Macaca fascicularis: one gene and its partners. The protein of the gene in region 1 interacts with the protein of each later gene in a biochemical or structural test. Links are inferred from orthologs where the notes say so. Each region holds a gene or a part of one and is shown in the gene's direction. Other genes may lie near its edges.

Region 1 (3,999 bases):
AGTGAAGGAGGGAGGGAATGAGTGAGTGAGGGAGGGAATGAGTGAAGGAGGGAGGAAATGAGTGAGGGAGGGAATGAGTGAGGAAGGGAATGAATGAGTGAGGGAGGGAATGAGGGAGGGAGGGAATGAGGGAGGGAGGGAGGGAATGAGTGAAGGAGGGAGGGAATGAGTGAAGGAGGGAGGGAATGAGTGAGGGAGGGAGGGAATGAGTGAGGGAGGGAATGAATGAGTGAGGGAGGGAATGAATGAGTGAGGGAGGGAATGAGGGAGGGAGGGAATGAATGAGTGAGGGAGGGAATGAGTAAGGGAGAGAAGGAACGAATGAACGAGGGAGGAAATGAGTGAGGGAGGGAATGAGTGAGGGAGGGAATGAATGAGTGAGGGAGGGAATGAGGGAGGGAGGAATGAATGAGTGAGGGAGGGAATGAGTAAGGGAGAGAAGGAACAAATGAATGAGGGAGGAAATGAGTGAGGGAGGGAAGGAATGAATGATGGAGGGAATGAGGGAGGGTGGGAATTAATGAAGGAGGGAATGAGTGAGGGAGAGAAGGAATGAATGAAGCAGTAAGGGAGGGAATGAGTGCGAAAGGGAATGAGGGCGGGAATGAATGAGGGCGGGAATGAATGAGGGTGGGAATGAGTGAGGGAGGGAAGGAATGATTGAGTGATGGAGGGATTGAATGAATGAGTCAGGCAGGGAATGAGGGAGAGAGGGAATGAGTGAGTGGGGGAGGGAATGAATGAATGAGGGAGGGAATGAATGAATGTGGTCAGTCCCCGCGGTCCCCAAGCACCCGGACACCGTGACCTTGGCGGCGGCCCCGCCGTCGGCGAAATGGGGGGCGGGGGGACCGGGAGAGCCCCGGGGCCAGCACGACCGCGCGTTGGCGAACGGAGTATCCCGCGCGCTCGCGGGGCTGGGGGCCTCTCGACCGGTCTCGGGAGTTGCGTGGGCGGGGGGTGGGGGGCTGTTGCCCGGAAGCGCCCCTCCCCCAAGGGCTCGCCCCGCCCCCGCCGCTCGTAGTCTCCCCACGCCCCGCCCCCGCCCAGGGCCCGCCCCCGGATTAGGGAGCATCCACACTTCTCCTCCCGTCGGTCATGCTCGCTTTCGGCCTTTTGTACGGGGTCGGCTCATTGGGCAGATGAGAAGGTCTCTCCGCCCACCGCCCAGAAATGGCCAATTGCAAGAGGTTTCACAGGGCGCTGAACTCGCGGGAGCGTCACCGTCCTGCGACGCTTCTGGGAATCCTTAGGCCTCAGTGGTCTTTGCCCCCCGGCCCCAGGCTCTGACCCCAAGGAAACCTCGGAGACCTGTGCCTGGAGAGGTGACCGCCGGGCATCCGGGGAGCTTTTGGAGATCTCGGCCTCCTTTATCCCCCGCTGCTCGCCGGCGTGTCCTCGGGTGGACGCGGGCACCCCGAAGGGGAGTTTACAGACGCTCCCTCACATCGGGGACGCGGCTCCTTTAAGGGCGTAGGTGTCCAGGGCGCCGCCTGACTGAAAAGTCACCCCCCCGGCCGGGCTCCTGGGGCGGACCCGGGGCGCGGGCGCGCGGCGGCGGGGCACGGGCAGCGGGGGGCGCGCGGCGGCGCGGGCGGTGCTCGGGGCCGGGCGGCGGTGGCAGCGCGCGAGGCAGGCGTGCAGAGGGCAGCCCTGCACCAGGCCCCGCCCCGCGCGCCCCGCCCGCGCCAGGGTCCTCGGAGCTGCTCGGGCTGCGCGCGGAGCGGGCTCCGGAGGGAAGTCCCGAGACAAAGGGAAGCGCCGCCGCCGCCGCCCCGCTCGGTCTTCCACCTGTCCGCGACGCTCGCCGGGGCCGCGGCCGCCCGAGGTGAGCGCGGGCGGGGGCCGGGCCGGGGCCGCGGGGCGGGGGTCGGGCCGAGGCCTCTACTCCTGTCGGGCCCGGGCCCCCGGCTGCCCCGCGCCCCGCCCCGCCGAGCCGGGCCCCGCGCCGCGGCCGAGCTTCCCGGGGAGCCCGAGAGGCCCCACGCTCGGCGCCGGTTCGGTCCGCGCTGCTGGCGCCGCGGGGCTGCGGCCCGAGCGCCCCGGCCGCCGCAGGCCTTGGGGGCCGGGGCTCCCCCACTTCGCCCCCGAGGTGCTCCTGGCGCGGGGCCGGGGCAGCCACCTGCAGCCGGGGCCCCGCGAGGCCGCGCCTTCCTTCTGCGCGGGGAGCGGCTTCCGGGGTCACTGTCGCCCCGCGGACGGAGGGGATGGGTCGCGGGGGAGACTCTTGGATTGCAACACCGCTGGCTCGCGGGGGTGGGGGCCGGCGAGCGGGCTTGTTTTCGGTGCCTTGAAACCAAAACAAGTCTTAAGTTTTCCTGCGCCTCTGAAGATGCTGCCCTGGCGCTTGCTGGGGCCCTGAACGTGAGCGCCTCGCTGGAGGGAGTTTTATTGTTTTGGGGATGGGTTTTTACCGGTTGAATAGTGGTTGGCTCTGGTAGTTAACGTGCGTGGGAGGAAGGTAAGGGAGTGATTAGCTGGGCTTGTGATCGTGGCCTGTAGTCACGCTTGAATCGCAGAATGAAGTGGTTTCGTTTTTATAATTGGAAGTTACGCTTTGTTTCTCTGTTTGCAAAGTGCCTGTCTTTGGGGAGTTCGGTTTGTTTCCTTTTATAGGACCTACGCCGAATGTTTTTTGAAGAACAAGAAACATTGCGTTTGGGTAGAGAAGCTGCGCAGCGGAAGACAGGACGGGACCTGAGTTTGTCCTGATTGCTCCTTCAGAGGTCCCTTCCCTAGACCACTGGGTGGTTGAAGGTGTGCGCTTGTGTGATGTGTCAGGGTTTGGGATCTTGCTTCAGAAACATTCTGGGGGCCTGGGGCAGATCAGGTGCGGCCAGGTGAGCGTCTCCTGACTGCAGGTGCCTGGGTCTTGCAGAAGGGAATACCTCCCCAAGCCTGGGAGAGTTTGCGTTTGGGTGCAGGAGGACCTTTACAGGCTTCTTGTGCCAGCCGTCGTGGCGACCACCCGTTGTGGAGATGAGTGCGGTGGAGTTGTGAGAGGTGAGTGCTTTGCTCACCTTCAGCCAGGAAGTTGCTCGGAAGTCGGTGCTGTCAACCAGCAGAGCAAGGTGGTGATCCGAGAAGCTAAAGCTCAGCCGGTCGCGGGTGCCCAGCAGGACAGAAGGCAGACCTTCAGGCCACTCCTGGAGTGCTTGGCCCTGTCCTGGTTGCTGCAGTGTCTGGGCCTTGCTTGGCTCTGATAGATGAGGGTTGTTTTTGTCTTTGCCTCATATAAGTTCCCTGCTCTGAAGGGTCTAGTAACTGCTAGCCATTCACTTAGTGCTTATCTGTTAATTTGGAAGGGCAAATTCGATTTTCAGCGGGATTTTGAATGCTTCGTCTGTGTTGTGATTACATTGTAACACATTGGCCACTTTCTCCAGGAGGCCAGTAGGAGGGGGAGCAGGGGGAGGGGCCTGGCTTCTGCCTAGGACAGGGTGGGTGTGCACCTGTGGCTCCTTGCCCTGTGGTGCAGTTTCCTGTGAGACCACCCCGTGGTGCTGAGTGCTTTGGGGCAGGGGATACAGCAGCATCAGCCAGACCTTGGCGGGAGGTCTCACAGGAGCACCCTCACGACTTCTCACATCTGAGACAGCAATAGCTAGGTGCTGGGACGGGGGCCTCTAGGTGGCTCTGTCCGGTCTTCAGTAGGAGGGCTACCTGTGGCAGGGTCCCAGGCCTGGCTGGCCTCTCTGGGGCTGGCCTCTCTGGGGCCTGGCCTTGCCTGGCTGTGAGGATCGTGTTGGCCATGGTCCTTCAGTGTCTGGAGCACTGGCCTGGGGCTTCAGAGACCTGCTTGATTCCTGGCCCCGCTCAGACCCCGGGCACCTGGGAGGTCGTGGCTCCTCAAAACGGCCGTTCACCAGGCTGCTTTGCACCGCACCAGGCACAGGCTGTGGCTACTCATGAAGCCCACCCTGGGGCTGGGGAAGCGAGAGCTGTGAGTCCTCAAGCCACAACTGAGCTGCTCCATGTGGAAGTGGAGGGTGGAGACAC
Region 2 (3,500 bases), on another chromosome or scaffold:
GAGCGAGACTCCGTCTCAAAAAAAAAAAAAAAAAAAAGAAACAGTTCATGGATCTTTTGATACTGATTGAAAAAGCCTTTATTCAACACCTAAAGTGTGTCAGGCACTATGGCTTTGTACTAATATGGTTACTGATTATTATGGTTTTATCCCTTTTAAAATACAGAGAAGCAGATGTTTTGTTTTTGTTTTTGTTTTTTTCCCTCAAAGTTTTAAAACTAATAAATAGCAGAGTTAGCTTTTGAAATTTGGCCTTTCAACTACAGGACTAATGTCATTTTCAACATGTCATAACTGCCTCTTCGGTTCATCCTGCTGTTCTTAAGTGTTCAGCTTCATCTAAACCTCTTTACAAATTGTTGACCAAACCTGGGGGAGAGGCTTCTTTGGTTTACAGAGGATTAGTATAGTGAGCATCTGCTGTTGTTCGTGTTTGATAGAAAATAGCATGTAAAGAGAAAGATTGGGATTAAAGATAGAAACATGCTGACCTGGATAAGTTAGCCAGTATAATTGCTTTAGTAAGTTGAGCTTTGGTGATTGCCCATCATTTCTGCATTGAACAGTGATGACATTTGTAAAAACCACTTATGCTTACACTTACAGAATAATGCCATTCAAAGAATTTTTGCACACATTACTTTTGATTTTGCTTAATATCCATGTGAGTTTTAAGATGAGTTGACAGATTCAGGGAATTTAGTCCACTTTCTCAAGACTGTACAGCAACAAGATGTTGATGCTTATGCTCGGATGGAGTTCTTCCACATTCTGATTTAGTACTTTGCCTCTAGAAAATTTTTTTTCTAGTATATGTTTTTTCTTGATAAAATTTTTGGCCTTTCCTCTCCTGTTTGATTATCATTTTTGCTTTTTCTGAAATTAATAGGAGGAAACACCAATTGGAAGCCTCCACTCAACTGTAAAATTTATAATTACCTGAACAGGATTGGATGCTTCTTCCTTCATCCTCGCTGTAGTAAAAGAAAAGATGCTGCTGATTTTGCCATATGTATGCATGTGAGTCATTGTTTTATTCAAAATCTAATGTGAATCTCACACCCACTTGCATTTTTTTCCCACTTGAATTGTAATGAGAGTTATAGACCATTCTTCAGTACTTCAGGTTCTACCTGTGACTATTATGAAGGCAGGACCCCATAGCATATTTTTATTGCTTTATCCTCAACTTCTAGCAAACCTTCAGCTATCCATGGTAGATACTCAACTATTTGTGGGATAAATGATCAAGAGATGATACTGTTTTTTGGTTTTAAGACAGTGTCGCTCTGTTGCCCAGGCTGGAGTACAGTGGCGCAATCTCAGCTCACTGCAACCTCAGCCCCCTGGGCTCTAACGATTGTTGTGCCTCAGCCTCCCAAGTAGCTGGGACTACAGGAGCATACCACCATGCTCGGCTAATATTTGTATTTTCAGTAGATGGGGTTTCTCCCTGTTAGCCAGGCTAGTCTCAAACTCCTGGCCTGAAGTGATCCGCCCGCCTAGGCCTCCCAAAGTGCTGGGATTACAGGTGTGAGCCACTGCACCCGCTGATGATACTGTATTTGATATATATTAAGACATTTTCATATTTTAGTATCTCTAAAATTAAGAGGTACCTTAACAATCACTGTTGGCCTAGATAGAATTTACATTTGCTTCTGCCTCTGCCAGGTACCTAGAGAAACTGCCAAACTGAGACCCACTTTACATTTTTTGCTTGAGGACTTACATGTCACACTGATAATGTGAATTTACTCGGCAAACTTGTTGACTACAGCTTATGGTTTAAACAACAAAAGATTTCTTTTTCCCTCTATCTAGTGCCAAGATTGAATCATGCAAATTGCCTTGCTTACCTTTTCTCTATGACAGATTTATTTCTTATTTACCCTTACATTGAGTGTATAGCCCATTGGTATTCCAACTTTATGTGAAGTCTGTTGGACTTCCATTTTGGCTTTTTCTTTTTATGGCACATAAAATAGCTTATCATATAATTTAATAGCATCTTATATTTGATTAAATGTGGGGTATTTAATTTATGAAGGAAGTCTTTCTCTCTGTTTCTTTTTTTTTTTTCTTTTTGAGACGGAGTCTCACTCTGTCGCCCAGGCTGGAGGGCAGTGGCGCAATCTCGGCTGCAACTTCTACCTCTCAAGTTCAAACGATTCTCCAGCCTCAGCCTGGAGAATCCAGCTTGGGATTATAAGCACATGCCACCACACTCAGCTAATTTTTGCATTTTGTAATAGAGACCGGGTTTCACCATGTTGGCCAGGCTGGTCTTGAACTCCTGACCTCAAGCGATCCACCTGCCTCAGCCTCTCAAAGTGTTGGGATTACAGGCGTGAGTCACTCACCCAGCCGAAGGAGATCTTTGTGTCATACTTTGGTAGGGATTAGGGAACAAGCTTAATATACCTTCCTAGGTATGTGTTCATTGTGAATAGATATAACTTGTTTTGAAACTCGTGCTGATTTTTTATCAACCTGTGCCATTTGTTCTAACTTAGGCTGGCCGTCTAGATGAACAACTACCCAAGCAAATTCCTTTCACCATCCTCTCAGGAGATCAAGGTTTTCTGGAGCTAGAGAATCAATTTAAGAAGACTCAGAGGCCAGCTCATATACTAAACCCTCACCACTTAGAGGGAGATATGATGTGTGCCTTGTTAAATAGCATATCTGATACCACCAAAGGTACGCAGCTGCAGTCACAGTGCAAACCACCCAAGAGGAGGAGACTTCACTGCTGAGAGAAACCAATAAACTGCTGTCCGCTAGTGAACTGTTGCCTGCTTACTAAACCATCATGTTCTCTTACTTCTATCTTACTTCTCTTTTTTTTTTAAATCTCACTTTCATTCTTTAGTGTTTTAGGAGGAGGATGAATTCATAATAATTTTCTGGAGCCTTTTTTTGATCTAGTAGATAAAATCTCTATTGATGTATATAAAATATATATTCATGCGTTATAGTATGTTACTACAATTTTAAGAGCTCAGAATTCACATCTTCACTTTGTTCCTGAAATTCCAAATTGACCTTCAGTCTTTTAGAAAGCAGTGTGTTTACAGTTGAAAACAGGAAAGCAATAAAAAAGGCGATCATTTAGGAGGTTGACAGTGACAAAATGAAATGCTGTTAGGCTTTTAGGTCCTTAGAGAAGTGGGTACATCCTATCTTATTGCTGGGCCTTGCACTTTCTTCTGTACCTTTGTGAGATTATTCAATGAAAGGAGTGCTGATGTCCATTTTCACTTCCTAGTACATAAGAAAAGATGTAATTCTAAGGATTCAGAAGTTTTGTTTTTCATTTTTCATAATTTCTGCAGTCAAATGTTCTACCACTGAGCTATACCTCTCTTTTTCGTAATCTCTGAAGAAATATGGATAGAATAATTAATGTTTAAATAGGCTAATAATTTAAATTCATGAATAAGGTTTGAAGATATTAATGAATTACCTTAATGAAAAATAGTGGCTTTTTGGCATTT
Region 3 (4,221 bases), on another chromosome or scaffold:
TTTCTTAAGAGGGTGTCTCTATTGTAAAAGGAGAAGTGAAGAATGAGAACCTGTACTGCAGGTGTTTCCTTAGGAAGACCAATTTTGGGAAAGTTGAGGTTCTGGAAATTAAATCCCTTACATCTCCCAAGTTCCAGTCCTCGCGGAGGTTTTTTATGTTCCCCATTTTGAAAGCTGTAGACTTTGACGACTGGAGAGAAGTGATGTGGGATTGTTCAATGGACGGGTGTTTGCGATTCTATGACTCAGCGTTAGGGATGTAGTAAATTCTGTGAACCTAGTTAAGCGGCAAGATGCCCACCACTTGTGGAAATGGGAATCTTTGCGATTGGGACCTTGTTAATCTTTCTGGTTTCCTCATAAGCTCACCTCTGGACCCAGCCTTGCCTCCACGACTCCCTCCAACCTCCCTAAACTCAACGAGGTGGGTATCAAGTCTGTTTCTTCATCCTTCATTCTTTTTTAACCTCTCCCAGAAGAGGAGGAGGAAACCCAAAGTATTTTATGAGCCTCATTTCGTTTCACAGCAGCCCTTGCAGAGGCTCAAACTCTCCTCCAAGCCCCACCCCATCATCGCCCATCCGCAGACCCTGGGCCTCCACGACAAAGCACGGCCTCACAGTCAGCACCGACGGCCCTTCGAGGACCCCCTCTGGAGGAGAACCATTCAGGTCCCAACCGTCTGGTCATTAGTTCTGTGGTGAAGCTTGAAAAGCAAATCAGCAACAATAGTAATAATAATAACACTTTTGTATGGCGCATTGTGCTTATTTGTACGCATGTGTTATAACGACTGTGGGACGCAGCACCTGGCAGTAGAAGCAGCTGCTGGACAGCGGCAAGGAGCGCGCCGCCCTTGCAGGGGAAGGGGCTGGGTCAGCCGAATAAGCCGTGGAAATGGGAACCTGGGGGACAGGAAAGCAGGGCCAGATAGCTTGCCAATAGCCTAGTTGAAGATAAAGGTTTTACTTCCCTTTTAAGAGACTTCTGCCATTCCCTGAAACCCTACGCAGCTTTGGAAAGCCCAATTCCTAAACCACCCTGTTCGGTTCCCCTGCCCCTCCTTGGAAAGGAGGCTCCGTTCTCCCCACGCGCTACTCGCCGGCGGTTGGACCCCAGGGAGGAAGTTTCTGATTGGCGGAGTCAGAGAAGCACCGGGTGAAAAGAGCTCCTCCGGCTGCGCACCGAAGTTCTGGCGTAGCCAGCGCCGTACGGCAAAATGGCGGCCCCCAGCTGCTTTGGGACGCCCGGGTTCGGGGAGACAAACTCCGACCTGGAAGACCGCGCTGACTATGTGGGCGGCACTGGAGGTGTTCGCGGGGCGGGCCTACGGCCGCTTCCGGCCACAGGAAGCCTTGTTCCGTACGACAATATGGCGGCGCTTAGTTGCATGCAGGCGGAAACTCTGTTGCTTCCGGTCCGTAGTGGGGCCTGCGGTGGGAGTGGGAAGGAAGGCGGAGGGAACCATGCGAGGTTCTGAGATCTGCGGCGAGGGTCGCCTCGAGAGACGGTTTCTGAGGTGGGGGCCGGATGGTGCGGGGATCAGAGGCGGGGGCGGGGATATCGAGGCAGAGGTATTGGGGAGAGCCGGGCTCTGAGTCTGAGGGGAAAACTGTGGTACCTTCCTATCCCTGAAAGGGAGTGGGGCGGCCGGGGGCTGAACTGGGGGAGGGGGATTTGGCGGGAAGCGCATCTACCGGACCGGCCGGACCCAGGGTTGGGATCTAAGAGGAATCGGGAGAGCGTAGCGCGGTGCGGGGGGACTTCTAATTAGTTACAGGTCTCCGAGAGAATGGGGAAAATTAGGGTGGGGTGAAAGGGAGGGGACTTGGGTAAAATATCTTCAACCTAAAGGCCCAGTTTGAGGAGACTCATCTGAGGGTGAAATACGGAGATAATTCAAGGAGGGGAAAAGAGAACGGACTGTTGGGAGGGAACCTCTTTCACCTCAGAGAGTCTAGGAGTTGGGGTGATCAGGATGGGGCGGGTGTGGGGTTGACTTGTTTGAGGGCAGAGGGGGCAAACACATGAGGTGGCGCCCACAGGAGTGTGTTGTCTGTGCCAGGGGGTGTCAGGACGATTTAGGGTGCAGTGTGGGAGAAAGAACCAACTTGCCAACTCTGAGAAAGAGTGGGGAAATGCAACAGAAAGACCGGAAATCGACGTGAGGGGTGGAGCAGAAGGTGGCAACTTAAGGTGTGGGGGGGTTTGCCCCCCCCACACACCACTTGAAGGGCCCGAAAAGCATATAGAACTAATGGTTATTGAAATCAGGTGGTGAAGACAGTGTTGGTCAGGGCTGAAACCCAAGGAGTTCAGAAAATGCGTGAGGTGAAGGGATGGGGCTATGCTGGAGGGGCTCATTCTGAGGCCCCATCCCCTTCCAGCAGGAATTCTGAAATCCCCACCACTTCCTCCTTCCGGGGGATTTGATTCCCCCATGGCCACCGCTAACAGCATCATTGTGCTGGATGATGATGACGAAGATGAAGCAGCTGCTCAGCCAGGGCCCTCCCACCCACTCCCCAGTACAGCCTCACCAGGGGCAGAAGCCCCTAGCTCTTCTGAGCCTCATGGGGCCAGAGGAAGCAGTAGTTCGGGCGGCAAGAAGTGCTACAAGCTGGAGAATGAGAAGCTGTTCCAAGAGGTGAGCTTTAGCGGGGAAGATCGTTGTACCCCAGGGAGGGGGATGGCTGACTGGCTCTCCTGTCCTTTCTTCCCCACTAACCCCACTCCCCTTTCTCTCAACCCCCTCCCTTGTCTCTCTTCCCCTTCCTTCTTCCCCTGAACCTTCTAGTTCCTTGAACTTTGTAAGACGCAGACAGCGGACCACCCTGAGGTGGTCCCATTCCTCTCTAACCGGCAGCAACGTGCCCACTCTCTGTTTTTGGCCTCGGCGGAGTTCTGCAACATCCTCTCTCGGGTCCTATCTCGGGCCCAGAGCCGGCCATCTAAGCTCTATGTCTACATCAATGAGCTCTGCACTGTTCTCAAGGCCCACTCAGCCAAAAAGAAGCTGAACTTGGCCCCTGCTGCCACCACGTCCAATGAGCCCTCTGGGAATAACCCTCCCACACACCTCTCCTTGGACCCCACAAACGCTGAAAACACTGCCTCTCAGGCCCCAAGGACCCGTGGTTCCCGGCGGCAGATCCAGCGCTTGGAGCAGCTGCTGGCGCTCTATGTGGCAGAGATCCGGCGGCTGCAGGAAAAGGAGTTGGATCTCTCAGAATTGGATGACCCAGACTCCACATACCTGCAGGAGGCACGGTTGAAGCGTAAGCTGATCCGCCTCTTTGGGCGACTATGTGAGCTGAAAGACTGCTCTTCACTGACCGGCCGTGTCATAGAGCAGCGCATCACCTACCGTGGCACCCGCTACCCAGAGGTTAACAGGCGCATTGAGCGGCTCATCAACAAGCCAGGGCCTGATACCTTCCCTGACTATGGGGATGTGCTTCGGGCAGTAGAGAAGGCAGCTGCCCGACACAGCCTTGGCCTCCCCCGACAGCAGCTCCAGCTCATGGCTCAGGATGCCTTCCGAGATGTGGGCATCAGGTTACAGGAACGACGTCACCTCGATCTCATCTACAACTTTGGCTGCCACCTCACAGATGACTATAGGCCAGGTAGGGGGTTAGTGGGATGCCTCTCAGTGACCCTTATATGTCAGGTATGAGGCGGATGGGGCATCTCTCTAGTCCTTTCTAGGGTTTGTACTCTTCTAGTCCCTTCCACGGCTGAGTGCTCTGACTTTATATTTTCCCACGTAGGCATTGACCCTGCACTATCAGATCCTGTGTTGGCCCGGCGCCTTCGGGAAAACCGGAGTTTGGCCATGAGTCGGCTGGATGAGGTCATCTCCAAATATGCAATGTTGCAAGACAAAAGTGAGGAGGGCGAGAGAAAAAAGAGAAGAGCTCGGCTCCAAGGCACCTCTTCCCACTCTGAAGACACCCCCGCCTCCTTGGATTCTGGTGAGGTGTGGATGGGGTAAAGCCTTCAGAGAGACATTGTCCTTCCCCTGCACTGGCCACCAGGGAGTCCAGGTTGACTGATGGGGGAGCATGAGAAGGAATGCAAGAACCAAACCCTCTAGGGCAAGGGATTCCTTAGAGAAACTTCTTTGTCCCCCAGGGCCCTAGTGGAATGGCATCCCAGGGGTGCCCTTCTGCCTCCAAAGCTGAGACAGATGACGAAGAAGATGAAGAGAGTGATGAG
Region 4 (3,500 bases), on another chromosome or scaffold:
GAAATCTCTCACACCATTGAATGATTGTCGGTTTGCTGCCTGGAAGGGTGCCCCATTCTTAGCTTTCTGGCTGGTTGATACTCTGTCATCGACAGACTGAAATCTATGCGATTGGGGTGGTGGCTATAGACATTGCCTAATGCGAAACATTACATCCTTTGATTAAAGGCTGTGGGAAACTTTTGTAAGTTCCTATCTTAATGTACAGTAAACGTTGAGTTGTTTATGTATTAATGCACATTTCTTAGAACTATAATACTGGATATGAATTTAGAGGTTGCCCCAGTTGAAGAAGCTATTGGCCAGAGAGGTTAAGTAACTTGATCACGGTCACATCTCTTTTTAATAGCAAAAAGAATACTTCAATCTTAGTCCTGTACAATAGAGGTACAAACATATCTCTCAGTGTACTACAGCAATACTATTTGCATTTCAAATAGAGCCTTTACATGATTTTGAGATGCCTGAGACTTTTCTCATGGAGTGATTTGGATATGAACAGCAATCACACGTGTCATTTTTGAACAGCTGTTGAAGAAGGCAGAACATGATTATGCCACTTGCTTAATATATTACATCTGGTTGCTGGGAAAATTTAAAAATTCCTTGGTGGTTGGAAGAGAATTTTTTCCCCCCTTTTTGGAGTATTTCATTCAAAAACTCTATTTTAAACTCTGAATTTTGGCTGCTCAGTGGTGGCTTAATTGTACTCCTGTTGAGATACACACTGAGAATGGAGGAAGGATTTTACGTAAAGTGCCCTTTGAAGGCTTTCATAGTCCTGATTCCATGTAATTTCATAATTTGGGAAAGAAAGCAGAGCTGTAGTTATTTTTATGGTGGAATTATTTCATTTTGCCATTCAAACATCTCCATGACCTACTCATGTGAGAAGTTGGGAGCCCTTTGCAATGAAACAGAACCGTAATCAAATAAGGCCCTGGAAGATTTTTCTTTTTTGTTTGTTTGTTCTAGATTGGGAAACATTCAAAATTCTTTATTTACATGGTTCTTCTTCACTAGTATTTCCTGCATACTCAATTCATCTTTTTGTTTGTTTGTTTCACTGAGCTTTAATTATAAGCCATTTTGGGTGGTCATTTGAGCACCTGTATTTTACCTAAAACAGAGACCTCATCTTTGCCTGCAGCCTCATTGCTGTAGGAACTGAACAGAATATTTCATTGGAGAATATCTGCCTTGAGTACTTTTTGAGCAAGTGCCTCTAGTTTTGACAGTAACGCCTCACCTTTTGAAAAGAAATCCCATGTGATTAGGATGCTTCTGTAGGAGTGTGATTTGAAGGAGGCAATAGTAAAACGTACTGTGTTGAAAATTGTTTTCTTAGTTTAAAAAATGTATTATTCAGTCTTTCAAATTATGGTACATTTATTACTTACCCTCACCTGTTACTTTGGCCTACAGTGTATAACATAATGAGCCTCTCAAAGAGTAACTGTTGAGAAATGAAGAGTGAATTTATTTGGCTCTGTGATTATTCAAGTGATTTCATAATAAGCAGGAGTACTATTGTATTTTTTGATGTGGAATACTTGGCAGTACCCTCCCCCTCCCCTGCAGAGGACCCATTGAATTAAAGACACCTCAGAAGTAAAGTCCATTTCTTCTTTTCTCCAGGTGACTTCAGGTGGAACATTCATTGGCATTGGACGGAAAACACCAGATTGCCAAGGAAACACCAAGTATTTCCGCTGTAAATTCTGCAATTTCACTTATATGGGCAACTCGTCCACCGAATTAGAACAACATTTTCTTCAGACTCACCCAAACAAAATAAAAGCTTCTCTCCCCTCCTCTGAGGTTGCAAAACCTTCAGAGAAAAACTCTAACAAGTCCATCCCGGCACTTCGATCCAGTGATTCTGGAGACTTGGGAAAATGGCAGGACAAGATAACAGTCAAAGCAGGAGATGACACTCCTGTTGGGTACTCAGTGCCCATCAAGCCCCTCGATTCCTCGAGACAAAATGGTACAGAGGCCACCAGTTACTACTGGTGTAAATTTTGTAGTTTCAGCTGTGAGTCATCTAGCTCACTTAAACTGCTAGAACATTATGGCAAGCAGCACGGAGCAGTGCAGTCAGGCGGCCTTAATCCAGAGTTGAATGATAAGCTTTCCAGGGGCTCTGTCATTAATCAGAATGATCTAGCCAAAAGTTCAGAAGGAGAGACAATGAGCAAGGCAGACAAGAGCTCGAGTGGGGCTAAAAAGAAGGACTTCTCCAGCAAGGGAGCCGAGGATAATATGGTAACGAGCTATAATTGTCAGTTCTGTGACTTCCGATATTCCAAAAGCCATGGCCCTGATGTAATTGTAGTGGGGCCTCTTCTCCGTCATTATCAACAGCTCCATAACATTCACAAGTGTACCATTAAACACTGTCCATTCTGTCCCAGAGGACTTTGCAGCCCAGAAAAGCACCTTGGAGAAATTACTTATCCGTTTGCTTGTAGAAAAAGTAATTGTTCCCACTGTGCACTCTTGCTTCTGCACTTGTCTCCTGGGGCAGCCGGAAGCTCACGAGTCAAGCATCAGTGCCATCAGTGTTCATTCACCACCCCTGACGTAGATGTACTCCTCTTTCACTATGAGGGTGTGCATGAGTCCCAAGCATCAGATGTCAAACAAGAAGCGAATCACCTGCAAGGATCGGATGGGCAGCAGGCTGTCAAGGAAAGCAAAGAACACTCATGTACCAAATGTGATTTTATTACCCAGGTGGAAGAAGAGATTTCCCGACACTACAGGTGAGTCAAAGGGGGGTAGGTCAGGAGGAATATACAAATAAAATAATAGAAAAAATCCACAGAAAGAGGGCTGAACCAGGAATTGTTGGGAGTGATTCCGATGACTTGGGGAAGTTATAGGAGAAGACCACATAAAAGATCATCACAGATTTGCAGGTGGTATAGTTATAGCTGTGATCACTGTAGACTTTAATTTGGTTCCTTCTTTTGGACTGTATGCTCATGTTTGATACTTGTTTTATACCATTTACTGATTGTCTTTTTAAATTCACAGTGATTCTAATAATGCTGATGAGTTTACTAATTTATCATAGTCCATTTATTTGTCCTTACTAAATATGACTCCACATCCTATATTTCTTTGACAGGGCAACTCCCAAATGAAAGTTACTATTGTAATATATCCTATTCTCTATTCTGAGAAAAAATTTTGAGAACCTGTTGCTCATTTTTATTTTAAAATGAGATTATATATTCTTCTAGCTTTGAACAATTCTGCAGCATCCTTGTTTGGCATATAAACAGTAATCTAAAGGTGAGAATTTTTGTAATATGTGTGATTTTGGATGTAGACTTGCTCCTCCAAGTAGGTAAAACTGCTTGAGTTATTCCAGATTCTTAAATGGATGTGGGATGTTTGTGTTTTCCTTCTGCTTTCACTCTATTCTCTTTATAAACATTAACTTTCCCAGTTAATCTTTTATAATATCTAGAGATAAGTATAGGATATGT
Region 5 (4,061 bases), on another chromosome or scaffold:
TGGAGGTGGAGGTGGGATGGAGAGCATAAATTACATTTCTGCAGGTGAAATCAGAGCATAGTGAGCCAAAACCCCTTTCTACCTGGGTGGCATGAATGGGTCCAACTGCTACTATCCCCCAGGACGAGGGAGCAAGGCGGGGTGGGCAGGATGGGAGGATGGGGCTGCCTTGAGCCTCCTGCAGGATGACTGGCAACTACTTTCTTAGCGGTCCTTAAGGTCCAATCGCGGTTAAGGCACTAACTAAACTCATTCTTCAGCCTCCTTCTCTAAGTGCTCCTCGAATTGCTCAGTTTAGATGCCCAGAAGTAGGCTCAGGATCCATTCTCTGCGGCAGCACAATGTAGGTCAGATAGCATGAATGCAACAGCTACTTATGAACACAATAGCTACTCTGTTATTGCAAGGTATCCACAACCACCACTACAAAGATTAACACCTTGCTTTACTTGGGGGAAAAAAAAAAAATCATGGTCCTATTCAGCAGTTTCCCCATACAGGGAGAGTTTGCCCCTCCCCCACTCAACAAGGCTGTTCATCCCTAGGAAGTGATTGGAAGTGATTTGAGAGTTTTCCAAGGATTTAGGCTTTCCACTCCTCCAAAGCTTTCACAGTTCTACCTGGCAGAGGTGCGTGGGGGGTAGGGGAGGAAGGGCGCGAAGCTAAACGTCCCCGTGCTGCAATGAGCCTGATATTAGCAGAAACACAAGAGCAGCCTGCAGCCCCATAACCACAGTGCGTCCTTCCCCTTAGAAGTCTGGGGAAAGCAAATCCCTACGCCCAGCCATCATTTCCACTCTTGCGTTTTCAAAAGATCAAAAAACGGAAAGGACCGGCAGGTTGGCAAACCCCAAAGAGGGACCGCCCATCAGGTCGGCGTCCTTGGGATCTCAGCCGCCGACGACCCCAATTCAAATCGATCGTGGGAAACCCCAGGGAAAGAAGGTTCACTTGCAGAGAGACAGGATTACAGGGTGCAGGCTGCAGGGAAGTACCGCGGGGAAGGGGGCCTGGTCGGAAGGACTTTCCAGCCACTTGGCACTCATCAAAAAGTTCCCTGTCCGTGACCCCAGTGGCTCATCGCAGGGAGTTTCTCCGACGAACCCCAGCTCAGGGTTTAGGCTTCTTTTTCCCCCTAGCAAAGGACGAAGCCAGTTCTCTTTTCTGGTCTGACTGGCTTGGAAATTCCCCGCGCCTGACCCCGCCCCAGAGAAATCCCCAGCCAGCGTTTATAGGGCGCCGCGGCGGCGCTGCAGAGCCCACACCAGCCCGTGCCGCCGTCCCGCCCGCCAGCGCCCCAGCGAGGAAGCAGCGCGCAGCCCGCGGCCCAGCGCACCCGCAGCAGCGCCCGCAGCTCGCCCGCGCCATGTTCCAGGCGGCCGAGCGCCCCCAGGAGTGGGCCATGGAGGGTCCCCGCGACGGGCTGAAGAAGGAACGACTGCTGGACGACCGCCACGACAGCGGTCTGGACTCCATGAAGGATGAGGAGTACGAGCAGATGGTCAAGGAGCTGCAGGAGATCCGCCTCGAGCCGCAGGAGGTGCCGCGCGGCGCGGAGCCCTGGAAGCAGCAGCTCACCGAGGACGGGGACTCGTAAGTGGCGCAGACCCGGAGCCGGGGGTCCTCGGGAGGGCCGGATGCGCGCGGCCGGGGAGTGGGAGGCGCCGGGCCTGGAGCCCGAGCTGGGGAACTAGCGATGCAGCCGGGCTGGCGCCGCGGCGCCCCGGGGCTCCTGCACCGCCCCGAACGCTGCAGGGCTGCAGGGCCGCGCGGGGCACCGGCCCGACTCGGAGGGGCGGCGGCTGGGCCCTGGTGGACGGCAGCGTCGCCACACGCCCCCTCCCCCCAGGCCTGTCCTCTAGGCCGGGGGCGGGGCGGCAGCTGGGACGCGAAGTCCCCGGTTGCATAAGGCGGGGCGGGAGTTTCTGGCCGCTGGCGGGCGCCGAGCAGCCGGGAGGGGAAGTACAGGGCGTTCCGAGCTGGCGGGAGGGCGGGGCGGTCTGGCCGGCGCCCGCCGGGGCCGCGGGGGGAGGGGGGCGGAAAGTCCCTGGGCGCCTGCCAGGAACACTCAGCTCATAATAACCTCGCGGAAAACACCGCGGCCTCGGCCTCCAGAAACCCCGGCCTTGCGCAATCCCCCGCAGCCCGCGCCTCCCTGGGCCCCACGCGGTGCACTCACCACCCCTGGGGTTTTTCCCTCTCTTCCCCACAGGTTTCTGCACTTGGCCATCATCCATGAAGAAAAGGCACTGACCATGGAAGTGATCCGCCAGGTGAAGGGAGACCTGGCCTTCCTCAACTTCCAGAACAACCTGCAGCAGGTGCGCCGCTTGCCTGGCCCGGGCTCTCTAACTCTGGGATGGAACTGATGTAGCAAAGTCACCCCAGATCCTTTCTGAATTCAGGGCCACAGGGCATTATTCACCCTCACCTTTTACTTCACGTCAGCCCACATCCTAGAGAGTGAAGGAAATTCCACTGATTTGGTGAGGTCTTTGTGACCCACCTGGAGTCTCTGCTATTTGCCAGTCCTCCCCACCCGCCTGTCTAGGAGGAGCAGCACCCAACCAGGAGACACGGGTTCAGGGGAACTCAGGGTGTGGGTTTGGTCCCTGGCTTACTTTCTCTGGTCTCTCCTGCATTCGTAGACTCCACTCCACTTGGCTGTGATCACCAACCAGCCAGAAATTGCTGAGGCACTTCTGGGAGCTGGCTGTGATCCTGAGCTCCGAGACTTTCGAGGAAATACCCCCCTACACCTTGCCTGTGAGCAGGGCTGCTTGGCCAGCGTGGGAGTCCTGACTCAGTCCTGCACCACCCCGCACCTCCACTCCATCCTGAAGGCTACCAACTACAATGGTATGTCTGCCTCCCTGCCCTGCCCCACCCCCTCAGGTGGCAGGTGATGTGGAGAAGGGGCAGGTGGGCCAACTTAAGGAGTCGAGGCAAGAACTTAAACTGCCAGCATTTGAAAGGTTGAGAAAATATGTGTGCAAAGTGCCTGTTGGATGCCTTTATAAAGTTCTTTCAGAACCCAAACGGTGGGTTCTTAAAATTCAGAAGATATGACTATTTGTCCCATAAAAGAATAGGTGAAAGGAGTGAGGGTTGAAACAGGTGGTTATACTTTTTTCGTTTTGTTCTTCCAGGCCACACGTGTCTGCACTTAGCCTCTATCCATGGCTACCTGGGCATTGTGGAGCTTTTGGTGTCCTTGGGTGCTGATGTCAATGCTCAGGTTAGTGCTTCCTGCCTCCGATGCACTGAGTCAAGTTCCTCGTGCTCATGTTGTGAGCAGAAATTCCAAACGCAGCCATAAGCATCTCAAATTCCTTTTGGTTTCAGGAGCCCTGTAACGGCCGGACTGCCCTTCACCTCGCAGTGGACCTGCAGAATCCTGACCTGGTGTCGCTCCTGTTGAAGTGTGGGGCTGATGTCAACAGAGTTACCTACCAGGGCTATTCTCCCTACCAGCTCACCTGGGGCCGCCCAAGCACCCGGATACAGCAGCAGCTGGGCCAGCTGACACTGGAAAACCTTCAGATGCTGCCGGAGAGTGAGGATGAGGAGAGCTATGACACAGAGTCAGAGTTCACGGAGTTCACGGAGGATGAGGTGAGTCTGTGAACTCCTTGGGCTCTCTAACTAATGAGGGACCATTCCCTTCACCCTCCCGGGCCCCTAGAACTGCTCCTTATCAGAGGGGTATCTACATAATGAGTCTCTCAAATTTCTGTGCATAACCAGTATCCCAATAATGTACCTTTTTTTTTTTTTTTTAAATAGCTTACCCTTTTTTAAAGAAAAGCATTTTTTAAAACATTTTTAAAATGGGAGTTAAAGGCAAACTCCCTCAGCCTGTAAAGTTCATTGTATTTGGGCTATGGAGAATGGAGTCCAAGGGTTATTTCCAGTAGCGGCCTCCCCATCCCAGTGGCTTGGCAGAGCTTCGGAAGTTTAATGTGTCTTCTTTCCCCTTGTTTTCAGCTGCCCTATGACGACTGTGTGTTTGGAGGCCAGCGTCTGACATTATGAGCGCAAAGGGGCTGAAAGAACATGGA
Region 6 (4,092 bases), on another chromosome or scaffold:
TCTCTATGGTTAACACTTTTTATGAGTTTTATTCATCCACTTATTTTTCTTATCCTCTACACCAGAATTGAATATTTTCAAATGCAGCACACTCATGTTACAATCTTTGAAATGAAAAAAAAAAAAAAGCATAGGATTAGAAAAGAAACCAATTTTAATCAACTGTATTTTAAAGTATAGTTCCATATTAAACAACATGATCTAGGCCAGCTGCAGTGGCTCATCCCTGTAATCCCAGCACTTTGGGAGGCCAAGGTAGGAGGATTGCTTGAGGCCAGGGGTTCAAGACCAGCCTGGGCAACATGGAGAGATGCCCCATCTCTTTCTTTATACACACACACAGAGAGAGAGAGAGAGAGAGAAAATATCTGGTAGCAACAGGTCTAGTCATTACCACAATTTTGAGTAGTGATGAGCTTAATAATATTTTGAGTTATCACCAAAATAACTGTAAAGTAACATGAAAACATCTGTGATGACTATTGCCCACAAAGTCACAGGTACTTCTAATACTCCTGGGATTTGTAGTCAAATTCATAATAAAGGAAATGCTAGGTTTCAGTTGGTATTTTGTCCCGACGGTGTATGGATGGCAGGTTGGAATGCCCGTCCAAGCCAGGGGGGTTGACCTAACACTGCAGGGTCCACCTAGGGCCGATCAACTATATTCCCTAGGGGGGCCTGCTATTCCCGGACCCAGCTGCCCTCAGGGGAGAGAGGACACACTTATAAAAAGAGTTTGGGGCTGGCTTGGTAGTTCACTCCTGTGACCCCAGCACTTTAGAAGGCTGAGGCTCGAAGATCACTTATAGCCAGGAGTTTGAGACCAGTCTAGCCAACTTGGCGAGACTCTATCCCTAAAAAAACAATTTTTTTTTTTTATTAGCCAGTTGTGGTGGTGCACGCCTGTAGTCCCAGCTACTTGGGAGGCTGAGGTGGGAGGATCGCTGGGCTCAGGAGTTCCAGACTGCAGTGAGCCATGATCGCGCCGCTGCACTCCAGCGCAGTGAGACTCAGTCTCAAAAATAAAAGGTGGAGGGGTTGGGGGTATAATTAGTTATGAAAACAGGTAAGACTTCCTGGGACAGAACGATCAAAGGGGTGGCGCCGGGTCCTCCAAAGAGCTACTAGCTCAGTCCAAGCCCCGCCTCGGCCCACAGGGTAGCGGGCCGTAGAGCTCCACCCGCAGGAGCCCGGGAAACTCCGCCCCCCGGCCGGCAGGGGGCGCGAGCGCCGCAGGCCCCGCCCCGTGGACGTGGGCTCCGTGGGCGTTTCCGCTGCCAGGCATCAGCAATCTATCGGGGAACCGCGGTGGCCGGTGCGGTGTGCTCGGTGGCGGCTCTGGACGCTCAGGCGCCTGCGGCTGGGTGAGCGCACGCGGGGCGGCTAGGCGGCGAGGCGGCGGCGTGTTTCCAGGTCGTGGCGTCGGGCTCCCGGAGCTTTGGCTGCAGCTAGGGGAGATGGCGGAGTCTTCGGATAAGCTCTACCGAGTCGAGTACGCCAAGAGCGGGCGCGCCTCTTGCAAGAAATGCAGCGAGAGCATCCCCAAGGACTCGCTCCGGATGGCCATCATGGTGCAGGTGCGGGCCGCTGTGCGGGCGGCGGGGCGGGTACGCGGCGCCCCGGGTTAACTGTGTCCGGGAAGGCTCGGGGAGTGCGGGCCCGGGGAGCGAGCGGACCTGGGCTCTCGGAACGGCACTTAGGGCCTGTGGGGCCGTGGCCGCCTCTCCTCCGCCGAGCGGCCCGGCCGACCCTTCCGGAAGGTTTTGCTGATGTTGCAGGAAAAGCCCGGGAAATACAGTCTGCAGCTGGTGCTGCCTTTCGCTTTGTGTAAACGAGAAGCCGCTTCTCTCCTCCTTTCTTGGTGGTGGTGTTTTATTATTGCCGTTCGCCTCAGGGATTGGGGGTGGGGGGGAATTGTACATGGTCTCTTTAAGCTAATCTGATTTTGACCTATCTTGTTCTGGAAGATTTTTGTCCTACGTGGATGGTGGCGACTGGCATGTGGGGATTTTTTTTTTTTAACCTATTTTTGGCCGTCATTTCAACACGTCATTTTAACGCTCACCCTCATTTTTCATTTTAATTAGGCAAAACTATGCAGAGAGGTGTCATTTCTGTACAGTGCATTCACTTTGAGCCTAATCTGTGCTTTAAAATAACATTTTCCCCAAATTTTCCAGGTTCACAGACGCGTTCTCGGTGCACTTGCAGCTGTCTGGTTTGAGTAAGAGTGGCTCCAGGGGGGTTTCTCATGTGGGCTTTTTGATAGATTGAGGATCGATCCCCTTTTGAGATTTCCTGAGGCTTCTGTGAGGTGGTGGGCTTGAAGGCCCCTGTCATTTCCCAGGGGCTCCTGCCTCCAGCTTCCAGTTTGCTGATGTCTGCCTTTGTATGAATAATTCTGGTTCTCACCTGCCCTGTTCCTCCTCGCTTCCAACACATTACCCAAGCTTAGTGCTCATGGTCAAGGTAGCTTGATTTTCCTCCCTACCATGAGCTGTAATGTGTTTTAGGAATGACCAGATAGCCCTCAGTGGATTTTCAGGACTTAAAGAGTACAAGGGAGGGCGACATTTACCGAGTGGATACCCAAGTGCCAGGTGTACTTCCGTTATCTTATTTCACAATATGTCTGTCATCTCGGTGTCCTTGGGGCATACCTAAGTCAGTACGTGGCACACAGTGCTTATTTGGTAGATATTTGTTAAGTTCTAAGCACTCTGTTAGGTTTTAAGGACACAGAATCCACCTTTGGGAATTTCCAGTTTGGTTAAACGGGAATTGACTGGTAAACAAACATTGCCGTACAGAGGGGATGGATGCCACCTGATGGAACTGTGCTCCAGGCATTGTGTGCCTAGGAGTCCAAGATGACCCACCTTAGGGTGGAAGGTTGATTAGGAGTCGTTAATTCACAGAAGTGGAGCAGAAAGATGAGGATAGGGAAGTAGACAGGGCCTACAATTTGAAGAGCCGTGTTTCCCACTAAGGAACCTAGAACTTACCTTAAATATATAAGGCAGCCTGTTCTAATGAAGTTCTCACTCCTGGTGCAGGAGCTCTTAACCCCAGGGTCCGTAGGATGGTAGATAGAATGCAAGAGGTCCATGGGTTTAGATAAGAAAAAATTGATATCTCCATCTCCACTAACCTATAGATAAAATTCATTATTTCCTCTAATCATAAATGTAAGCAGCAAAGCAAAGGCATATTAGCAGTCCCTATGATTTTTTTCACCAGCGGTAATTACAGATATTTTCACTTTACAGTTGGGAGTTTCTCAAAATATAATTTACTCTCATTGCTATAAAAATCACAGTTGTTAGAGGCAGTACTAGATCTTGTTATTTAAAACTTTGAAGCTCACGGGTTACTGTACGCAAATTACCTTTCAAATGTTTTGATAATTATTTGAGTATGTTTCCTTTTTGAACTTTTTTGTTTTGTTTTTTGAGATGGGGTCTCACTATGTTGCCCAGGCTGGTCTCAAACTCCTCAGCTCAAGTGATCCACCCACCTTAGCCCTGTAAAGTGCTAGGATTACAGGCGTGAGCCACCATGACTGACCATTTGCGAGCCTTTTTATTATGCATTTTTAAATGTTATTCCGAGAAAGGGACATCCACGGGCCGTAACAGGTGGGCAGAGTACCGTGTTCTAGTGGAAAGACAGAAAACCCAAGTTCAGGCAGTGTGTTGAGGCTAGAACAACACCGCTGTGGAGGAAGTTAGAGGAGGCTTAGTTAGCTGTTGGGGAGGCAGGATGGAGGAAGCTGAACCTGATCAAGTTTAACATTCTGGGGCCAGGCTCGGTGGCACACGCTTGTAATCTCAGCGCTTTGGGATGCTTGGGTGGGCAGATCACTTAAGCTCAGCGGTTCAAGACCAACCTGGCCAACATGCTGAAACCTCATCTCTACAAAAAAAATGCAGTGATTAGCGGGGCGTGGTGGTTCATGCCTTTATGTCCCAGCTACTCTGGAGGCTGAAGCTGGAAGATTGCTTGAGCCTGGGAGGTGGAGGTTGCAGCGAACCGAGATAATGCCACTGTACTCCAGCCTGGGCGACAGACCCAGACCCTGTCTGAAAA
Region 7 (3,500 bases), on another chromosome or scaffold:
CTATGAAACAAGCCCTTTGTTAGCCAATGGGGATATGACTGCAAACAAGAAAGATACACCTGTGATTTGAGGAGTCCTGGAGTTTATGAGCAGCTCCTTTCTGTCTCCAGTGTGAGCAGTCCTAAATTTACACAGCTCTCTACTGGTGTTTTTGACCACAGGGTTAACATTTAAAATACTTATCACTGCTTTTTGGTACCACTTTGAATAATGAACTGGTTTCAGGTAAACAGAGTCCAGGTACCTATTGCAGAAAGTTTTCCAGTCTACACACTCGGTGGCTCACAAGTTCACATGAAGTGAACCAAAAGAGTTTTGTTGCACTTACTGTGACAATAAATCATGTTTAGAAAAATGCATGTGGCATATATGATATTGGGCAGATGATTCATGAAACTTGCTATTCCATGGCCTTAGAATCTGTATAAGTATTTTTCCTTTGTTTTTTTTGTTTTTTTTTTTTTTTGAGACGGAGTCTCGCTCTGTCACCCAGGCTGGAGTACAGTGGCGCAATCTCCGCTCACTGCAAGCTCCGTCTCCCAGGTTCATGGTTCACGCCATTCTCCTGCCTCAGCCTCTCCGAGTAGCTGGGACTACAAGCGCCCACCACCACACCTGGCTAATTTTTTTTTTTTTTTTTTTTTTTTAGTAGAGACTGGGTTTCACCATGGTGTCGATCTCCTGACCTCGTGATCCACCCACCTCGGCCTCCCAAAGTGCTGGGATTACAAGCGTGAGCCACCACGCCCGGCCTTTCCTTTGTCTTTGATGTGTTTTCTTGTTTCTGTCTCTGTTTTGTTTTGTTTTTGTTTTGGGGGTGGTTTAAAATCCATGCTGGGCTAGAGTCTGATTTTGACACTCCCAGGTGTGATCAAATGTTTCCACAAATCTCTCTAACCTTTCTATTCTCAATGTGGGGAAAACTTTCTCCTCTTTAAGAAAAGGTGTATCCACAGAAAAGATAATTATTTGAGTAATATTTTATAGTACAGAAATAATAATTGAGTAATTTTCCCCTTAAAATTTTTTTATTTTTGTATTATTAAGAACAAAATTATTTTAGGATGCAAGTAAAGAAGAAGTTCATTTACCTATATTTAATTTGCCAACTTTTCTATTACACAAAAGCATATGAATACAAGTAGAATAGGAAAAATTTCATCCTAAAGAGAAAAATATTTTGGGCTTCTACTTTCAAGAGAGTAAAATTGTCCTGGAACCCTGTGCACACTTTAAAAACAATCATTAATAGATTGCATCAAACTAGAAACTTCTTCACAGCAAAGGAAATAATCAATAAAGTGAAAAGTCAGCCTACAGAATAGGGAAATCTGTACATCTGATATGGAGTTATGGATTGCAAATCGTACATCTGATATGGAGTTAATATTCCAAAATATATAAGAAACTCAACAAACTCAATAGCAAGAAAACAAATAACCCAGTTAAAAAAATGATGAAGGACCTGAATATCCATTTCTAGAAAGAAGACATACAAGTGGCCAACAGATATATGAAAAGGTACTCACCATCACTAATCATCAGGGAAATGCAAATCAAAAACAGTGAGATATCATCTCACACCCATTAGAATGGGTGTTATCAAAAACACAGACGGTAAGAAGTGTTGGCAAGGATGTGGATAAGAGGGAACCCTTGCACACTGTTCACAGGAACATAAATTGGTATAGTCATTATGGAAAACAGAATGGACTGCCTCAAAAAATTAAAAATAGAACTAGCATATGATCCAGCAATCCTACTTCTGGGTATATATCCAAGTGAAATGGAATCAGGATGTTGAAGAGCTGTCTGCTCTCCCATGTTCACTACAGCATTATTTGCAATAGCCAAGATGTGAAATCAGCCTAAGTGTCAATGGATGAATGGATTTTTGAAAACACAGTATATATATGCATATATAATATATATACACACACATACGTATATACACATAAAGATATATATGTACACACACAGTAGAATATTATTCAACCTTAAAAAAAGAAGGAAATCCTGTCATTTGCAACAACAGAGATGAACCTAGAGGACATTATGCTAAGATAATTAAACTGGGTAGTGTTTGACACAGAAAGACAAATACCACATGATCTCACTTAACACGTGGAATCTAAAAAAGTCGAACTCATGAAAGCAGAGAGTAAAATGGTGTTTGCCAGGGGCTGGAGGGCGAGAGCAATGGGGAGATGTCAGCCAGAGTTTCAGTTATGCAGGATAAGTGCTGGAGACCTAAGTATAGGTCACCTTCAGCGTGGTGACTGTAGTTGGTGATGCTGTATGGTATATTTGAAATTTGCTAAGACAGTAGATCTTAAGTGTTCTCACTGTACATATTCATACTCAAAAAGGTAACTGTCTGAAGTGATCTTGAGTATGATAAATCATTTCATAGTAAATACATGTATTAAAACATCACATTGAATACCTTAAGTTTTTGTGGGTGTGTGTTGTTTTTTGTTTTTTGTTTTGGTTTGGTTTGGTTGGGTTTGGGGTTTTCTTGAGATGGAGTCTTGCTCTGCCTCCTAGGCTGGAGTGCAGTGGTGTGATCTCACCTCACTGCCACCTCTGCCTCCCAGGTTCAAGTGATTCTCCTGTCTCAGTCTCCCGAGTAGCTGGGATTACAGGCATGCTACCACACCCGGCCAATTTTTGTATTTTTAGTAGAGATGAGGTTTCGCCATGTTGGCCAGGCTGGTCTGGAACTCCTGACCTCAGGTGATCCTCCTGCCTTGACCTCCCAAAGTGCTGGGATTACAGGTGTGAGCCACTGTGCCTGGCCTGTATACCTTAAGTTTAAAAATTTTTGTCTATTATACTTCAGTAAAACTGAACAAAATTTTAAATAACAGCAGTCATTAACAGACTCAATTGATGACCTTCTGTAGAAGATAATGAGAGCAGGACTGTTGGCAAGGCGTTTATATGGATACACTGTATGTGTCTGCACTGTTTCAGGATTCTCTTATTATGATACCTGGGTAAAGGGTGACTTCCTTTCTATCATAAAACAGCCTGGACAGCACTAAGAAGGTGGTTATGTTCTTTTCTCTTGTTGTGAGAGCCTAGATGAGATTACTTTGCCAAAGACTCTTTCATTTCTCTTTCTGAAACTCTGTGAGATTGTTGTGTTCTCTGGGACTTAACTTCACAGCTAGTCTACTTTTCCTTTCAGAAATTACCATGGTTGACACAGAGATGCCATTCTGGCCCACCAACTTTGGGATCAGCTCCGTGGATCTCTCCGTAATGGACGACCACTCCCACTCCTTTGACATCAAGCCCTTCACTACTGTTGACTTCTCCAGCATTTCTGCTCCACATTATGAAGACATTCCATTCACAAGAACAGATCCGATGGTTGCGGATTATAAGTATGACCTGAAACTTCAAGAGTACCAAAGTATGATGTTTATTTTCACTTTTCAGACTACTAAGACTGGAATTGGACTTATCTCTCAGTAACCCTGTAGTAAATAGTG

What was found.
Region 2: the proteins of UBE2I (region 1) and ZNF451 form a complex in vitro, tested with the Homo sapiens proteins (2 studies listed by BioGRID and IntAct, with this or other methods). The link is inferred for Macaca fascicularis from reciprocal best matches to the Homo sapiens genes UBE2I and ZNF451.
Region 3: of the proteins of UBE2I (region 1) and DAXX, one has a biochemical effect on the other in vitro, tested with the Homo sapiens proteins (5 studies listed by BioGRID and IntAct, with this or other methods). The link is inferred for Macaca fascicularis from reciprocal best matches to the Homo sapiens genes UBE2I and DAXX.
Region 4: of the proteins of UBE2I (region 1) and TRPS1, one has a biochemical effect on the other in vitro, tested with the Homo sapiens proteins (2 studies listed by BioGRID). The link is inferred for Macaca fascicularis from reciprocal best matches to the Homo sapiens genes UBE2I and TRPS1.
Region 5: of the proteins of UBE2I (region 1) and NFKBIA, one has a biochemical effect on the other in vitro, tested with the Homo sapiens proteins (2 studies listed by BioGRID). The link is inferred for Macaca fascicularis from reciprocal best matches to the Homo sapiens genes UBE2I and NFKBIA.
Region 6: of the proteins of UBE2I (region 1) and PARP1, one has a biochemical effect on the other in vitro, tested with the Homo sapiens proteins (4 studies listed by BioGRID, with this or other methods). The link is inferred for Macaca fascicularis from reciprocal best matches to the Homo sapiens genes UBE2I and PARP1.
Region 7: of the proteins of UBE2I (region 1) and PPARG, one has a biochemical effect on the other in vitro, tested with the Homo sapiens proteins (2 studies listed by BioGRID). The link is inferred for Macaca fascicularis from reciprocal best matches to the Homo sapiens genes UBE2I and PPARG.

The regions. Positions count from the first base shown.
Region 1 is NC_088394.1:2,054,668-2,058,666, forward strand, and holds the start of UBE2I (SUMO-conjugating enzyme UBC9), read left to right. Parts: upstream 1-1,199; 5' UTR 1,200-1,473; intron 1,474-1,690; exon of another isoform or gene 1,691-1,828; intron 1,829-3,999. UniProt on the Homo sapiens protein: Accepts the ubiquitin-like proteins SUMO1, SUMO2, SUMO3, SUMO4 and SUMO1P1/SUMO5 from the UBLE1A-UBLE1B E1 complex and catalyzes their covalent attachment to other proteins with the help of an E3 ligase such as RANBP2, CBX4 and ZNF451.
Region 2 is NC_088378.1:114,567,704-114,571,203, reverse strand, and holds part of ZNF451 (E3 SUMO-protein ligase ZNF451), read left to right. Parts: intron 1-889; coding exon 890-1,020; intron 1,021-2,516; coding exon 2,517-2,703; intron 2,704-3,500. UniProt on the Homo sapiens protein: E3 SUMO-protein ligase; has a preference for SUMO2 and SUMO3 and facilitates UBE2I/UBC9-mediated sumoylation of target proteins. Plays a role in protein SUMO2 modification in response to stress caused by DNA damage and by proteasome inhibitors (in vitro).
Region 3 is NC_088378.1:138,379,486-138,383,706, forward strand, and holds the start of DAXX (death domain-associated protein 6), read left to right. Parts: upstream 1-1,421; 5' UTR 1,422-1,466; coding exon 1,467-1,519; intron 1,520-2,387; exon of another isoform or gene 2,388-2,440; coding exon of another isoform or gene 2,441-2,457; coding exon 2,458-2,647; intron 2,648-2,797; coding exon 2,798-3,629; intron 3,630-3,773; coding exon 3,774-3,982; intron 3,983-4,137; coding exon 4,138-4,221. UniProt on the Homo sapiens protein: Transcription corepressor known to repress transcriptional potential of several sumoylated transcription factors. Down-regulates basal and activated transcription.
Region 4 is NC_088382.1:125,223,009-125,226,508, reverse strand, and holds part of TRPS1 (zinc finger transcription factor Trps1), read left to right. Parts: intron 1-1,638; coding exon 1,639-2,768; intron 2,769-3,500. UniProt on the Homo sapiens protein: Transcriptional repressor. Binds specifically to GATA sequences and represses expression of GATA-regulated genes at selected sites and stages in vertebrate development. Regulates chondrocyte proliferation and differentiation.
Region 5 is NC_088381.1:103,221,237-103,225,297, reverse strand, and holds the start of NFKBIA (NF-kappa-B inhibitor alpha), read left to right. Parts: upstream 1-1,261; 5' UTR 1,262-1,366; coding exon 1,367-1,593; intron 1,594-2,212; coding exon 2,213-2,321; intron 2,322-2,648; coding exon 2,649-2,859; intron 2,860-3,149; coding exon 3,150-3,238; intron 3,239-3,345; coding exon 3,346-3,615; intron 3,616-3,987; coding exon 3,988-4,035; 3' UTR 4,036-4,061. UniProt on the Homo sapiens protein: Inhibits the activity of dimeric NF-kappa-B/REL complexes by trapping REL (RELA/p65 and NFKB1/p50) dimers in the cytoplasm by masking their nuclear localization signals.
Region 6 is NC_088375.1:84,321,944-84,326,035, reverse strand, and holds the start of PARP1 (poly [ADP-ribose] polymerase 1), read left to right. Parts: upstream 1-1,292; 5' UTR 1,293-1,460; coding exon 1,461-1,580; intron 1,581-4,092. UniProt on the Homo sapiens protein: Poly-ADP-ribosyltransferase that mediates poly-ADP-ribosylation of proteins and plays a key role in DNA repair.
Region 7 is NC_088376.1:150,655,337-150,658,836, forward strand, and holds part of PPARG (peroxisome proliferator-activated receptor gamma), read left to right. Parts: intron 1-649; exon of another isoform or gene 650-733; intron 734-3,193; coding exon 3,194-3,421; intron 3,422-3,500. UniProt on the Homo sapiens protein: Nuclear receptor that binds peroxisome proliferators such as hypolipidemic drugs and fatty acids.